2 linked regions of the Xenopus tropicalis genome follow. The protein of the gene in region 1 binds, or shares a complex with, the protein of each later gene. Links are inferred from orthologs where the notes say so. Each region holds a gene or a part of one and is shown on either strand. Other genes may lie near its edges.

Region 1 (4,288 bases):
ATTTATTTCCGACCAAAATACACAACATGTTTCGGGCAATGTGATGCCCTTTATCAAGTAAAAAACGGCGTCACATTGCCCGAAACATGTTGTGTATTTTGGTCTGAAATAAATAGCATTTGAGCAGAATTCTGCTTTATGGTGCTCTCCTCTATATTTGGATTGACATTTTTTAGGCTTGTGTTGCTCCCCAACTCTTTTTACATCTGACTGTGGCTCACAGGTAAAAACAAAAAGGTTGGGGATCCCTGCTCAAGATACACAAGTGCTATGGGCAAGCCAGTGATAAGAAAATAAACAAAACCAGTCAATCATAAGTAGAAACTCACAACCTGCCCAAAGGACAGTTCTTGCTCCAGTAAAGACACCCACATATTTTAAAGGGGAAGTAATCCCAGAATTGAAATGTTGCCTAGCCAACTGTCTATTAGCAGTCATTGCAATTAAAAAGCAATCAAGGTTATTCTCACTCTTACAACAATGTAGCAGAAGCCAAGCTCTCCTGCTGCGTGTATGGGCAATGCCTCAGCTGGCTTCAGATACAAAGTGTCAATAGTGAGAGCCGGCAGTGCAGGAATCAGAGAGAATGGAGCAAACCCCGCTCTCACTAGCACATACATTGCCTTAAAGCTGAATAAAATGAAAGTCCCGCCGGTGGCAGTGCCAACAGGCAGTTACAGGTTGGGCGAGTGTTGCGGAACTGCAGCTCTCACTATACAGATGTCAGGCAGGCAATGCCTATGGAGGGATTCGCTTAATCCCCTATGGGAAGGACGTTTAGTTGTAGTTCCGCACAGTCTTCCTTAGTATTACAGAGGGATCACTGTATGAATGTAAGGAATACACCGCGTCTTATGAACATTCCTACGCCGGGCCCCCGCCCAAGACCGGTTCCCTAAGCCGCCCCTGCACCGCTCCCTGCTCGACCCACGGGCTTAGCATGGCAAACACAGGCGGCCTATAGCCCGGTTCTCTATCCCGGACTGTTGTCGCTCTTTCGTGTCAATTTCTCCGTAAAACCCCCCGCCCCTCACACTCACCATCGCTCCGGTATCCCCCGATAGCGGAAGTGACAGACTCGCACATGCGCACTACCTCTCTTCCCCCTCACTGGCACAGCCAGCGGTCGGACTAAACCATCATAAACTGGGGTTGGGCGAACATTTATACTTAAACCATGTAGATTAATTTAGCCGCTTGGGCTGTGGATATACACATAAGCATATCTCAGTTCCGTTCTTGTTACATTATTATTCTCATATACGTATAAAAAGCAATACTATATGAATTTACCCGGTGTGCACCCTCCTCTTGAAAATGGTCCGGCTCGCCCCGCTTCACGCCATATTAGGGAATGTGGAATGCAGGCGGGTCAGACCAAAGTGGGGTTTAGGGGGTGTACAAACAGAACATGAGCGACCGGGAGAAATTTCTTACAAGGTATTCATGAGAGAGATTGTTATCACGACTGCTAGAGGCTTATGATACCAGATACCTGCGGATCTATCACAGCTGCACATCAATAGTAATACTACGGGAGCCCACAGGCTAAGCCTTCCCAATGCCGCCATTGCGCGCCAAGTACGATTCTTCTCTATGGTTGATTCCATCGGGGCACAAAATGGGTGCTTAAAAGAGATTGTGCCTTGTGGACGTGAACCCATTAGGCGCTTGTGGTAAGAACGTTCCCTAAGAACGGGTTATTGTGCTCAACGGCCTATTCCAGCCTTATTAGTTGTTCCCCATTTACTGACACCCCTATTTGTTTTTCCGCAGTGGTACGCTCCCGGGTGACTGACAGGCGGTGACAGTGGCGGCCTTGCGTGAGGAGCTTGGCTCTGCCCCCTACTGGCCGTTGGGAGACAAAGGAAACGAGCGCAGGAGCAGGATCCATTGAGGGGGCCAGGCCGGAGTGTGGGTACGGGCATATTGTGTGGTGTCGGTATATACCGTGCGTGGGGGCTCAGTGCTTGCGTTATATGCGGAGAGTACCTGTAACAATGCGTCATTTGGTAGCCATAGGCTACTAAATACGTTTACTCCCCTGCTGTAATAGAATAGGACTACAACTCCCAGCCGCCCCTTTCGCAAAGCGCCAGTTCTGCAGCAACTGGAGAGCAGTTACCTGTACATAAGGGGTTATTAGTAATAACCCCTACCCCAGGGCACAGGTGCATAGTGTTACTGCTCCTGCATAGGCATACAGTATACACCTGCCCTATAGCCTGTTGTGCATTGGGGGTATGGGTGCACTTATCAATAGTACTGGGGCATTGGGGTACAGTATGGCCGGCCATTACAGCTGGCTGTGCATTAGTGCTGCAGGGTATGGAGGCTGCAATATACACATGCAGTAGTGCTGCAGGGTATGGAGGCTAAAATATACACATGCATTAGTGCTGCAGGGTATGGAGGCTGCAATATACACATGCATTAGTGCTGCAGGGTATGGAGGCTGCACTATACACATGCATTAGTGCTGCAGGGTTTGGAGGCTGCAATATACACATGCATTAGTGCTGCAGGGTTTGGAGGATGCAATATACACATGCATTAGTGCTGCAGGGTTTGGAGGATGCAATATACACATGCATTAGTGCTGCAGGGTTTGGAGGCTGCAATATACACATGCATTAGTGCTGCAGGGTATGGAGGATGCAATATACACATGCATTAGTGCTGCAGGGTTTGGAGGATGCAATATACACATGCATTAGTGCTGCAGGGTTTGGAGGCTGCAGTATACACATGCATTAGTGCTGCAGGGTATGGAGGCTGCAGTATACACATGCATTAGTGCTGCAGGGTATGGAGGCTGCAATATACACATGCATTAGTGCTGCAGGGTATGGAGGCTGCAATATACACATGCATTAGTGCTGCAGGGTATGGAGGCTGCAATATACACATGCATTAGTGCTGCAGGGTATGGAGGCTGCAATGTAGACATGCATTAGTGCTGCATAGTGCTGCAGGGTATGGAGGCTGCAATGTACACATGCATTAGTGCTGCAGGGTATGGAGGCTGCAATATACACATGCATTAGTGCTGCAGGGTATGGAGGATGCAATATACACATGCATTAGTGCTGCAGGGTATGGAGGATGCAATATACACATGCATTAGTGCTGCAGGGTATGGAGGCTGCAATATACACATGCATTAGTGCTGCAGGGTATGGAGGCTGCAATATACACATGCATTAGTGCTGCAGGGTATGGAGGCTAAAATATACAAATGCATTTGTGCTGCAGGGTATGGGTACATGAAGGCTGTAATATACACATGTATTAGTGCTGCAGGGTATGAAGGCTGCAATATACAAATGCATTAGTGCTGCAGGCTATAGGTGCACAGACAGTCCTGGTATTTTGGGGTACAGAACAATATACACGTGCATTAGTGCTGCAGAGTATAGATGATATATTCATCTTAGTGTATTGGGGGTACCGCATTCACCTGCATTACAGCATTGGTGAACAGTATGCACATGTGGTATGGCTTGTTGCCTATTGGTGCTGCAGAGTATGGTTGCATACATTTGTGTTGGTGCAACATATGCATGTATTCTAGGTTTAAGAAGGGATTCGCTGTTTATTTCAGAGGGGGGATTTTTGAGCTCTTGCATTTTTGCTGGTGTATCATATTAGACCAGGGTCAGACTTGGCCCTCCATAGGGCCCCCTTTTAAAACAAAACAATGTTATAGGTGTTGTATATGGCTAGGTGGAAATAAGGGGCTGATGGGAGTTGGCCTAGGTCCAACAGTAGATTCTTCAGCGCACTAAATAGAGAAAAAGGGCTTGCACTCAAATAATGCAGAGGTTGTATTCTAAAAAAAAAATTATCTTAACCTTTTGTATTATTCTTTGTTGCAGGCCGCCAGCCTTGGCAGAATGAGCGAGTTAAAGGATTGCCCTCTCCAGTTCCATGACTTCAAATCTGTGGACCATGTCAAGTTGTGCCCCAGATACACCGCAGTTCTGTCCCGCTCCGAGGATGACGGAATCGGGATTGAGGAGCTGGATACCCTTCAGCTGGAGCTGGAAACCCTACTGTCCTCTGCAAGCAGGAGGCTCCGTGTTCTGGAAGCGGAGACCCAGGTAAAAATCAGGGGGTTAAATGTAGAGCACCCGTCCCTCAGCAGTGGCTGCCCAGTGTACTTGGCATGAAGGAATATGCCCTTGTGTAGGAGGGTTTCATGCCCAGTAGGAATGTCTATAGGTTTGAGTTGGTATAAATCTTCAGATGGCAAAATGCTGCATATGCTGCCCGTTATATTTATTGT
Region 2 (4,187 bases), on another chromosome or scaffold:
GAATGGCAGGGCAGGTTCGGTAGGCATCAGAGGGAAGCCTGGCATTGCCATCCGTGGGCGTTTCAGCGCTGGGGGTCCTGCTGCAAGTTGGGGCCGAAGGCTGTGAATGGACGACTGGTTTGTCCCTTGGCTGAGCTGCCTTTTCAGTGCCACTCGGGCGGGCAGCAAAGATGGGTTTCTTAAAGGATTCTGTGGTCCTGGCATCATCGGGCCCCTCCATGGGACTGTCCCTGGGCGCACTGCAGCCAGAGCCTCCATCCTTACTGGGAGTCCTTGAGGCAATCTCCCCATAACTGGGCCTGGGACTAGGTTGTTTCTCTGGAGTGGCCCCTGCAGAATCGGGGCCCGTGGAACTGATGCCCCTGGGTGAACTGGATTCCTTGGGGGTGCTGGCCCCAGAAGCATTGGAGTGTTCATCCTCATTGGTCCAGGAGCTGGACTGCCCCTCCCCATGGGATTGGGTAACATGGGGCCCCTGGGATTGGCTATTATCGGGCCCCTTGGGGGTAACATGGGACCCCTGGGATTGGGCATTATTGGCCCCCCGGGATTGGGTATTATTGGGCCCCTGGCATTGGGTAACATGGGACCCCTCAGATTGGGCATGATTGGGCCCCTGGCATTGGGCATGATTGGGCCCCTGGCATTGGGCATGATTGGGCCCCTGGCATTGGCTATCATTGGGCCCCTTGCATTGGGTAACATGGGACCCCTCAGATTGGGCATGATTGGGCCCCTGGGACTGGCTATCATTGGGCCCCTGGGACTGGCTATCATTGGGCCCCTGGGACTGGCTATCATTGGGCCCCTGGGACTGGCTATCATTGGGCCCCTGGGACTGGCTATCATTGGGCCCCTGGGTGGGCCTGGAATCCCGTTGGGTTTCTGCACTGGTCCCTGTACAAGAGGAACTCTCATGCCTGTGGCCCCCAAGCCCCTCATGGCTATCCCTGACCCCCCTGGAACAAACATTCTTGGGGCCCTCGCTGCCCCCGGCCCCCTCACCCCCACCCCTCTCAGCAACCCCGGGCCCTGGAGTGGGGGCCCCATTGGCAGTATCGGTCGGGCCCCCGGTACTGGGAGGTTCCCCGGCAGCGCTCCCCCCTTGCCCATTATCCCCGGCCCCAGGGGCCCCCGTATCCCCGGCTTCCAAGGCAGCGGCCCCGGGATAACTGGCCCGTTCCCTGCCATCCGGGTCATGTGCAAGGGCCTCCATGTATCCAGCGCCACTTTCACCGGTTCGGGAGGAGAATCCGGAACCCACGGTACGTTATCCCGCTACAAACACCACAGAGCGGCCCGCAGCTGCTTCCGGTCTCATGGAGGCGCCTGTTGATGAGATCACTTCCGGCGTGCCCCCCCCCCCCAGTCTGGGACACAGGGAAACCGGACTGACTGTGTGAGGTAATGGGGGGCTCCTGGGGGGCTGTTCTGCCCCAATAAGGGGTAATTATATCTTAGTTGGGATCAAGTACAGGTACTGTTTTATTATTACAGAGAAAAGGGAATCATTTAACCATGAAATAAACCCAATAGGGCTGTTCTGCCCCCAATAAGGGGTAATTATATCTTAGTTGGGATCAAGTACAGGTACTGTTTTATTATTACAGAGAAAAGGGAATCATTTAACCATGAAATAAACCCAATAGGGCTGTTCTGCCCCCAATAAGGGGTAATTATATCTTAGTTGGGATCAAGTACAGGTACTGTTTTATTATTACAGAGAAAAGGGAATCATTTAACCATGAAATAAACCCAATAGGGCTGTTCTGCCCCCAATAAGGGGTAATTATATCTTAGTTGGGATCAAGTACAGGTACTGTTTTATTATTACAGAGAAAAGGGAATCATTTAACCATGAAATAAACCCAATAGGGCTGTTCTGCCCCAATAAGGGGTAATTATATCTTAGTTGGGATCAAGTACAGGTACTGTTTTATTATTACAGAGAAAAGGGAATCATTTAACCATTAAATAAACCCAATAGGGCTGTTCTGCCCCCAATAAGGGGTAATTATATCTTAGTTGGGATCAAGTACAGGTACTGTTTTATTATTACAGAGAAAAGGGAATCATTTAACCATGAAATAAACCCAATAGGGCTGTTCTGCCCCCAATAAGGGGTAATTATATCTTAGTTGGAATCAAGTACAGGTACTGTTTTATTATTACAGAGAAAAGGGAATCATTTAACCATTAAATAAACCCAATAGGGCTGTTCTGCCCCCAATAAGGGGTAATTATATCTTAGTTGGGATCAAGTACAGGTACTGTTTTATTATTACAGAGAAAAGGGAATCATTTAACCATTAAATAAACCCAATAGGGCTGTTCTGCCCCCAATAAGGGGTAATTATATCTTAGTTGGGATCAAGTACAGGTACTGTTTTATTATTACAGAGAAAAGGGAATCATTTAACCATTAAATAAACCCAATAGGGCTGTTCTGCCCCAATAAGGGGTAATTATATCTTAGTTGGGATCAAGTACAGGTACTGTTTTATTATTACAGAGAAAAGGGAATCATTTAACCATTAAATAAACCCAATAGGGCTGTTCTGCCCCCAATAAGGGGTAATTATATCTTAGTTGGGATCAAGTACAGGTACTGTTTTATTATTACAGAGAAAAGGGAATCATTTAACCATTAAATAAACCCAATAGGGCTGTTCTGCCCCAATAAGGGGTAATTATATCTTAGTTGGGATCAAGTACAGGTACTGTTTTATTATTACAGAGAAAAGGGAATCATTTAACCATTAAATAAACCCAATAGGGCTGTTCTGCCCCAATAAGGGGTAATTATATCTTAGTTGGGATCAAGTACAGGTACTGTTTTATTATTACAGAGAAAAGGGAATCATTTAACCATTAAATAAACCCAATAGGGCTGTTCTGCCCCCAATAAGGGGTAATTATATCTTAGTTGGGATCAAGTACAGGTACTGTTTTATTATTACAGAGAAAAGGGAATCATTTAACCATGAAATAAACCCAATAGGGCTGTTCTACCCCCAATAAGGGGTAATTATATCTTAGTTGGGATCAAGTACAGGTACTGTTTTATTATTACAGAGAAAAGGGAATCATTTAACCATTAAATAAACCCAATAGGGCTGTTCTGCCCCAATAAGGGGTAATTATATCTTAGTTGGGATCAAGTACAGGTACTGTTTTATTATTACAGAGAAAAAGGAAATCGTTTTTAAAAATTAGCATTATTTGCTTATAATAGAGTCTATGGGAGATGGCCTTTCCGTGATTCTAAACTTTCTGGATAAGGGATCCCATATCTATTTTCTCACTGTACTTTTTGTTACTTTGCGCCATGCAGGTGATTAATATAAGAGAAGCGGCTGATGCGGCAGAGAGAGGCCCAGAATGACAGAGATATCATAGCTGAATGAGAGTCCATTGATTGTGTGACTATAATCACTGACACAAAGAGAGGGAAGATGATGCGCTATTGGGGCGAGATCCCAGTCTCCTCTGGGCAGGCCAATAGAAGCTCCTTTGATCTCCTGCAACGCGAGTTCCGAACGGTGGAAATGCAGGAGCCTCCCCTACACCAGCCATCGGCCAATAAGCCCCGGCCTACCACTATGCTGGACATTCCCTCTGAACCCTGCAGCCTGACTATCCACACCATTCAGCTCATCCAGCATAACCGCAGACTGCGGGGCCTCATCGCCGGCGCTCAGGCTCAGAACCAGCAGCAGGTGGAGGGTATGAAGGTGGAGGAGAGCGAGCCTTTACCCCTCAGGCCTACCTCTCCTGCCCTCCCAGAGGATCTGCTGCCCCAGGACTGTAAGGTCCCCAAGCTGCCATTCCAGATTCGGCACAGCGACCCTGAGAGTGAATTCTACAGGTATTATATCGTACTTCTTGTGTCTGCAGCCCTGTACATTAAGGTGTATATTTATCATGTTGTGTAAAAAGTGAAGTAAAACATTACCAGTGATGTTGCTCATAGCAGCCAATCAGATCAGATGATTTGTTTGCTGTTGAAATCTAATAGCTGATTGGTTGCCCTGGGCAACATCACCAGTAATGCTTCACTCCACTTTTTACAAAGCATGATAAATATACCCCTAAAGGTACGTCTTTGTGCCTCGCAGTGGGAGGTACCTGAACCTTCTAATGGCAGCTTTTTAAGTGGAGGAGCAGGGAGTTTGTGATTCAAGAAG

The links. The genes of interacting proteins can lie anywhere in the genome.
Region 2: tada3 (region 1) and supt7l share a complex: the UniProt entries of both Homo sapiens proteins name them as parts of the STAGA transcription coactivator-HAT complex. The link is inferred for Xenopus tropicalis from reciprocal best matches to the Homo sapiens genes TADA3 and SUPT7L.

What each region holds. Positions count from the first base shown.
Region 1 is NC_030680.2:138,580,975-138,585,262, reverse strand, and holds the start of tada3 (transcriptional adapter 3), read left to right. Parts: upstream 1-1,488; 5' UTR 1,489-1,676; intron 1,677-1,776; 5' UTR 1,777-1,918; intron 1,919-3,878; 5' UTR 3,879-3,896; coding exon 3,897-4,103; intron 4,104-4,288. UniProt on the Homo sapiens protein: Functions as a component of the PCAF complex. The PCAF complex is capable of efficiently acetylating histones in a nucleosomal context. The PCAF complex could be considered as the human version of the yeast SAGA complex.
Region 2 is NC_030681.2:5,371,949-5,376,135, reverse strand, and holds the start of supt7l (STAGA complex 65 subunit gamma), read left to right. Parts: upstream 1-1,387; 5' UTR 1,388-1,404; intron 1,405-3,334; 5' UTR 3,335-3,455; coding exon 3,456-3,868; intron 3,869-4,187. Other genes in the region: slc4a1ap (kanadaptin), read right to left, coding at 1-1,216.